Linked DNA regions of Xenopus tropicalis. The protein of the gene in region 1 binds, or shares a complex with, the protein of each later gene. Links are inferred from orthologs where the notes say so. Each region holds a gene or a part of one and is shown on either strand. Other genes may lie near its edges. The genes, in order: gtf2e2 and polr2f.

Evidence for each region.
Region 2: gtf2e2 (region 1) and polr2f share a complex: the UniProt entries of both Homo sapiens proteins name them as parts of the TBP-based Pol II pre-initiation complex. The link is inferred for Xenopus tropicalis from reciprocal best matches to the Homo sapiens genes GTF2E2 and POLR2F.

Annotation. Positions count from the first base shown.
Region 1 is NC_030677.2:83,811,860-83,815,564, forward strand, and holds the end of gtf2e2 (transcription initiation factor IIE subunit beta), read left to right. Parts: intron 1-1,607; coding exon 1,608-1,723; intron 1,724-2,113; coding exon 2,114-2,230; 3' UTR 2,231-2,895; downstream 2,896-3,705. UniProt on the Homo sapiens protein: Recruits TFIIH to the initiation complex and stimulates the RNA polymerase II C-terminal domain kinase and DNA-dependent ATPase activities of TFIIH. Both TFIIH and TFIIE are required for promoter clearance by RNA polymerase.
Region 2 is NC_030680.2:122,152,477-122,156,973, reverse strand, and holds the start of polr2f (DNA-directed RNA polymerases I, II, and III subunit RPABC2), read right to left. Parts: upstream 2,846-4,497; 5' UTR 2,754-2,845; coding exon 2,734-2,753; intron 866-2,733; coding exon 796-865; intron 514-795; coding exon 383-513; intron 1-382. Other genes in the region: c22orf23 (UPF0193 protein EVG1), read left to right, coding at 4,416-4,497. UniProt on the Homo sapiens protein: DNA-dependent RNA polymerase catalyzes the transcription of DNA into RNA using the four ribonucleoside triphosphates as substrates.

The DNA.
Region 1 (3,705 bases):
ATTCTATATAGATCACTTGTGGTGCAACAAATATGTTGCTTTTCACTCTCCAGCCAATGATATGTCTTTGAAGCTGTGTCTGGTACCGCTCCCTCTCCATTCATTCCAGATGAATAAGATCTGCAGTGCTCAAAGCCATAGTTCACTATTCATAGGAATGCAGTAGCACAGGGTTACCTGCTTTATCCCCTACGCACAGGGTGCAGTATATCAGAGATAAAACAGCCAACTGCTTAGGCCGATAACTTCACAAATGTATTTCATTTTAATGTTTAGGGGAAAATTCAGAGTGATATCAGAGAAGCTTGTCTCTTGCCCTTACTTCAGACAGAGTGGCTCCAGAGATCCTGCTTCCTTCGTTTGTTTAACAATGCTACATTGTGGCTGATAAATGCAATTTGAACAAGCTGCTTCTAGATCCTAATTTGTACACTTATTTCTAGTGATATGACAAAATGCGATGTGAAAATCTGAAATGCAAAATATTTTGATTTGCGTTTTTACCACCAATTTTATTTCAATGTAAAGTAATGCTGTTGCCAAGAAATGATTTTATGATACATTTGGACACCATCAGAAGTCATCAGCACTTAAACTAAACCACATAGTAGAGTTGATCAGCTGCTACAAGCACCCACACGCCAGTACTCGCTACCACCTATACCAGTGCACAAATGTTATACTTGTGCATGCCCATACATTTTATGATAGAGTGAGAAACTGGGGTTGTTTATATATTCGACTGGACACGTTAACTGCAGTTCTATTTTGGCAAATCAGGCTATCAGCTTACCAGCCTCTGATTCTTTTCTAAGGCCAATCACTTTCTAGCACTTCTGTCTCATATTGCTTGCCATTAGATATAATAGTAATCATGGTGATTAAAGCATCACCTCAGAATGCAGGCCTTCTAGTTTATAGGTCTTCTTGTGACATAAGCATATATTTGTATAATAGATAACCATAAAAAAATAACCATAACTTATTTATCAACTCCTACCGCTCTTGAGCTCAATCCATTATCTCTTCCTAAGTACCTCATCATCTTATCTCTAGTGTTGCTACCTTTTACTGTAATAGCAATATTGCCTTTACTTAAAAAAAAAAAAAAAAAAATATATATATATATATATATAATCTCCCACCCCCCAACACAAAAAAGCTGTGGTAAGCAATATTGCATACTTTATGTACATGTAAATGTATCTAAAATCTTATTTTTAAATTATGTGCTGCAAAACTCCATCAGCAATACAAATGAGTGCTAAGATGAGAAAAAGGTCATGAAACATCTGAATGACTCCTGCAAAGAGAGAGAAATTAATACCAGTCGGAATACTATATGAACCTTTTTAGATAAAATCCATGTTTTGTTGTGACTCCTACCTTTAGAAGCTGAATGGCACTGTTTTTCTCCATTGATCATAGGTGCTGTGGTGGGTCCCATTCATTATATCAGCTCAGCCCTTTTATGTAGGTGCATATAATGGGTTTTAATGATGGAGTGCAGAATGAACTAGGTGTAGCTCAGATGAGCTCAAAATCACCTGTGAATAAATACCTTAGTTGTCCTGCATGTGTTCTATTAAGAATTTACTTATTCTTAGAATTTCAGAAGTTATGGAGGAGTGTCCCAGTAGATTCCATGGACGATGAGAAGATTGAAGAATACCTAAAAAGGCAGGGAATTTCTTCAATGCAAGACTCTGGACCAAAGAAAATTGTAAGAGAGCCTTATAATTTGTGTAAAATACCTTTCAATCTGTCAATTTTTCTACAATAGGAATATTGTCCTTAATCCACACTTACATCCTTAGGTTAATGTCCCACGGGGAGATTAGTTGATTAATCTCTGCTACTGCAGGCCACTAATCTCCCTGAAAAGCCTTCCCAGTGGCAAGGAAACTTTGGGCGATTTAGAGATGTGTATGCCTTCCCATTGGTGGTTTACATTATTGCCAGTGGGAAGGCATGTCAGGGAGATTAGTTGCCCGCGGTAGCAGAGATTTGTTTTCTGGGTTGCAGTAGTTTTTATACTTGCCTTCGTGTTCCATAGTCTGTGCCTTGTTCTGCTATTTGCAGCGTTAACGCAATTTATTAATGCACATTTTAGATTCCAGTGCAGAAGAGGAAGAAAACTACTTCACAGAGAAGGAGGTTTAAGACTCATAACGACCACTTGGCGGGAGTGCTGAAAGATTATACAGATGGTGCTCCAGGCAAATCATAAAAGCATCAATTGGACTAAGGATGTTTACAGAGTATCTTCACTGCAGGATCTCCTTAGCTGCTCATCAACTCCAAACCTTGATAGTTACCTAATATTTCCCCTCACAGACTCAAAAATCCAGAATTACATTCTCTGGGTGTTAAAGAGACCATTTATTTCTGTCTTAGGAGTATTAAAGAATCAAATGTACTATACATTAGCTAAAAAAATATCCTAGAGCTGCCATGTCTCTGCCAGACACAGACCGATTGGCAGTTTGTGGAAGCCGAATATTGTGCTGGTTTTGCTCTGCTTAATTCTGTTCATTCTGATCCCCTTGTTGCTCAGATAAATATGTCTCCAGCATCTGATTTAATGAGTTTTGTGTTTATTGTATTTAAAGGGCAATTGTGCTATTTCAATAGCAAAAATAACTCTTTCTTTTGTTAGCCAACATAAAAACTTTTACGTACAAAATGGTTAAACCACTTTTTTTCTTTTGTTTTAATGTAATAAAGATTGTTTTCTTTTGAACCTTCTATAAACTTGTCTAAATTGGCACATACGTAATGTACCATAGCAAAAAGTGAACAGAAATGATATAAAGAACAGTGGTTCAAATTTGATTTTGCAAAATCCTGAATAATATATATTTTTAAAATAAATAGTTGCACACCTTTTTGGAAGTAAGAGTCAAGGAAGCAAATGGTACGTTAACATATTATGCTCTTTATGTAGTAAGTATTACAAGTCCTTTTGTCAAAGGGAATCGCCTTTACAAAGGACTTGGTTACGAAATGTTGGGGTTTCCGGGTATATTTGTATATATAATGTATATGTGTGTATGTGTAATTATATCAGTTGATGTTTGCTAAATCAAGGGTTCATACCCCCATATGAAACTAGTGCAACACCTTTAAGAAAATAAACAAATATGGGTTGCAGCTTTACAGACTGTGAAACTGCAACCTATTTTTATTTCTGTTAAGCTAAGTACCACTGTATCAGCATATGCCTGGACTTTTTAAATATATATATATATATATATATATATATATATATATATATATATGTATGTGTGTGTGTATATATGTATATATATATATATATGTATATGTATATATATATATATATATATATATATATATATATGTATATGTATATGTGTAAATTATTTTGTAAAATAACCAAGTCAGTAAGTCACTGTAATGACATCACTGAGCACCAATAATAACTGATGACATCACAAGTTATAAAGAGATATCTTAAGCCCTTATGTATTCCATAATATAGACATTGTTCCTCCCAGCAGTGTTGGTTTATATGCAGGGAAGGCCATCTCCCATAGATTCCATTATAATCAAATAATTAAAAAAATTTTCTCTGTAGTAATAAAACAGTGCCTTGTACTTCATCCCAACTAAGATATAAATAATCCTATTGGGTTTATTTAATTTTTTTATGACTTTTTAGTAGACTTAAGGCATGGTGATCCA
Region 2 (4,497 bases), on another chromosome or scaffold:
CAGAAAACTGCACCGCCCAGGGTGTAAGCGAATGAGTGTTCCTCTTCATCCTTCTTGCATGCGTAGTAGAGTGAAAAGCCAAACTTTAACGCATGCATGGGCCCCAGGATTACTGCAAAAGGAGAAGGAAGGAAGATAATTGCTCGCCTGCATTTACCCGAGTCAGTGCAGGAGTACCGGTTGGGGGTATCAGGTAAGCAATTACAATTACTGGGGGCTGCCTAACATGTGGCACCCCCTAGTGATTTAGCTGTTCCTTCTCATTTAAAGTGATATTTAGGAACAGGCTCTTATTGTAACAATGAAGGTGTGTTCACATTAGTCCACATGGAAAGTGCTGGGTGAAATGTGCTCTTTCCATCACATATAATCTTTTACTTACGCTATTTGCAGGGCACGAGTTCCCAGCACACGGGCCCGCTCATATTTTGTCATGTAATTGGTGGTGATGCGTTTCTGGTTGGCCTGCTGGCCTTCCCCAGCTGGAAGAATTGCCACATTCTCCTGGTCTTCCTGCAATACAAAACCCACCAATTGTTACATAGAGACCACAAAGGAAAACTTCTGGTTGTAGTCCATTGAATGTCTGTGTCTTCTAGTTCTACTTTACCCACATTAACAGTAAGATATTAGAACACAAATTTTGTATTAACAAAACATATACATATATATATATATGAAACACCTAGAAGTTTCCATTTTGCGCTGAGCTTTTTAGTATAAATAATTATTTGGACTATTGCAATTTCAGTAAAGAAAAACCAGGCTGTTGTGGAACAAAAGAACACCACCTACCTCTTCTGCATTGTCCAAATCATCAAGTCCCTCATCCTCTTCGACATCATCAAAATCATCTCCATCAAAGCTGCACACCAAAACAAATACATAAGTGAACAACTCTTGGCATAATTTCCTCCCTTCTGTACTACATTGTCAGGGTTTGGTGCTTAAAATAGACTTTGAGTTGATAATGATAACTGATACTTACTGTATCATCCATGGTAGCCAGTCCTGTAACTTGCAATAAAATACATGGGACTGTATATTTTTCTAGAATGTTGATAAATAATCAATGTAATAAAATGCAAAGTAGAACTTTTCAATGTGACTGCTGTTAGGAAATAAGGCCTTGTACAGGTTGTGTCCTACTGTAACTATGGAAAAGGCCTCTGCTGGGGAAATACACCATAAACTCTGGTCATTTGGACTTAAATTCACCAAAAAACAGGGGGGAGGGAGAGGAATGGACAAATACCTTATAGATTATTAAAAATAAAAGAGTGATATGCAACACTGCTATAAATTATCTTAAATATATCACCAAAGTCAATTGTTTTAATCAAATTTAGTCACTGTCACAGTAGCATCCAAAACAGAAAATAGAGCCCCCTCCATTATACAATGACCACTCTGTTAGAAAGAAATCTGGGCACAGAGTTCTAACAGCGACCCCTTGTGCTTTTTTTCTTCTGGTCAAATTACAAGCAACAGCCATGACTATGATATGTGAGCATCAGCCCTTGTAAGTAGGGAGTACTGGCCTGGGTACAGTTTCGTAGAGCTTTATCTGAATAAAAGGTCTGTTAAATGTTGCCCTCTTATATTTCAATGTACATAAAAGTGCTGCTGCTATTTAACAGATCAAAAATATTTATTTGTTATATTACCTATGGTGCCATCAAGAAAAAATGCCGGGACAGAGGTGATACCAGTTTGCAGGGATATATGTATTTGACACACATATGGGCACATACAAACAGGTTGCTCTTTGCTCATTCCCTATATATATATATATATATATATATATATATATATATATATATATATATATATATATATATATATATATAAAAATTTTTTTTTTTTTTTTATATTACTGGGATGTCAGATGAAGTTATTATCAATATGGCACCATGAGATTGGAACCTGCTCCTGTTCCTACACACCTGATTGCCATTCTGCCTCATGGCTCCAAAAGCAGTGTGATAATTAGGAGTACATTTAAATAAAACAGTATTTGATGTATGAGAAGCAACGCAGAGAGTGGCTGGGCCATAGAACTGAGACATATACATGGTGCCAAGGGGCAGAAATACTCAGCTGTAACTCCTCACAGAAAGATCAGCATTTTAGTGAATCATTCTGGTGCAATGGCTGCTACATATCTGCCCTGCAGCGTCTCCCCACCTGTATGAAAGCGAATTTACTATTATAGTCTGGAAATAGATATTCTTGATTCTGGCATAAACATCCTTGGGGTTCATTTACTAATAGTGGGCAAATTAGCAGCTGGTAAGTAACCCATGGCGACCATTTGCTGTCATTATTGTAACTGCTGATGGCAGAACATAATCACTGACCTGCTGGATTAGCGCCTAGGTACCAACTTGCCCCCCGTTAGTAAATGAGTGTGCTTATAATTCAGTACAGGGAATAACACCGTTATGCAGCTTTGTGGGTTCATGACCTGGAAAATTTGTCCATAAACAATGAGATTTCATGACTAAACTCGGCAGTATATTATATATTATAAACAATTACACCGCCCTCTTGTAATCGGGGGCCAGTGTTCCCTTACAGTGTTAGTACCGGGCGGAAGGAGATGAAGGGACACTGTATGAGCCATTCCCACATGGCACTAGCAGCTAGGAAGCCCCCAGCCCGTACCGTCGGCCTGCCCAGTGAATATCACCGCCCCACCCTTTATTATAGTAACAATACAAAGCGACTCACTTGTCCTCGTTGTCCGACATGGCAGCGGCTCTAGGTACCGAGCAGAACCTACTCGCTTTTCCCACACACACACTGGGATAAGTTCGTTGCGGCGTCACGAACGGCCACAGACAGGAAGCGGAAACGTTAAACCCTCAACTTCCTTCCTTGTACGGTTCCCATGGAGACAGGACGCGACTTGCGAGAGCGTTTCGTGTTCGTTATACAGACTGACCGGTGCTGGCTGGCGTGCTGACAGCTTATTAAGGTTAGAGATGGTTTGTATAGATATACACATAGGCAATAATGAATACTATGGTTAGTGCAAGAATAAACATTTAATGTTGTTTGCATTTGGGGTATGTTGACTGTAGCATGGGTATATATGTAGCTGAGGGACAGGATAGTGTAGTTATACTAGTATGGAATAGCCCCACCTAATGGTCATTAATGTGACTATATACTTTATAAGCAGAATCGTGGGCTTCTGCTTAGCTTTTCATGCCTGGCACTCCCATGGTTAATGGTGAGAAATCACTAACATAGTTTTTCTGTTATACATGTAGGGGTTTACCAAAAATGGGCCCTTAGGATAGACACCCCTAGGATAGGCCACAGGGTGGTGATCAGGGACATTGGGATGACTGGGTGCTAAATAGTTAACAGGGAGTATACCTGTAGTTAGGGTTATGGCCACAGGGTGGTGCATAGGCCCATATAAGGGGTTGCAGCCATGTGCTGAGTGGCAGACATTTTGGGGGCTGCTCCAGGCAGGAGTACCCCAGGTACAGTTTAGATAGAAGTTTGGTAATAGATCACTCCAGGAGTGATATGTAGGACACCATAGGTTAAAATGGGCAGACATGACCCCTCCAGGAGTGGTAGTGAGGTTAAGACCTCCCAGCGTTACATCTGCTGGAGTGCAGGGCCACAAGTGGCTAGGGAAGGTGCACCAGGTCACCACTAGTCCAGGAGCTTGGATTTGAGGATGCTTAGTGTGAGTACCGGTGTGGGTCCCTGTGGTGAGGCTTCTAGCGTGAGTACCGGGGAGGGCTCCAGGAGGGGGTGCCTCATGACGCGAGTACCGGGAAGGTCACCTAGAGGGGAGCACGTGGCGTGAGTACCGTGGAGTAGTCCAACAGAAAGAGTCTCAATGAGTAGTAAGGGGATATGCCCTGCACACTGTATCAATAATATGTGCCACTCCTGGAGAGGAATCTGCCTAATATACCGTTGCACCGTTGTCTGCTGTGAGTATCTGCCAAGCCCAGAGGACCACTACCAAGCTGGTAAGGAATAACTCCAAGAGGGAGTGTATTACACCAGGAGTACGTGGGTCCCAAGAGGGGCATAGCAACCTATTAAGTTCCCAGGGGGTGGATTATAGTTACACAACACCATCCCTGGGTGGAGGCACACCATTTAAGGGAGAAATCCCTGTTAACCCCCATAGTAAGCGGGGGCTCAGGACTCCTGTAGCGCCAAGTAAAGACAAGTCAGCAGGTAGTGCCACAGAATCTCATAAAGTGGGCTACATACACAAATTAGAAATTCCCTTTGGTTTTAAAGGGATGGTTCACCTTTAAGTTTTAGTATATTATAGCAGTTTCCTTGTTTTTATTTGTGCATTTATCTATGTCTGCCTAAGGCCATAAAGTGTAATGTTACATTGCCATTATGTTTATTACAGAATCGGCATCACAATGGCAGTCAGGAATGTAAGTACAAAGGTTCCAGTGGGCACAGGGTTTTGGAACAATGCCAAACCTGCTCAATACAGCAAAG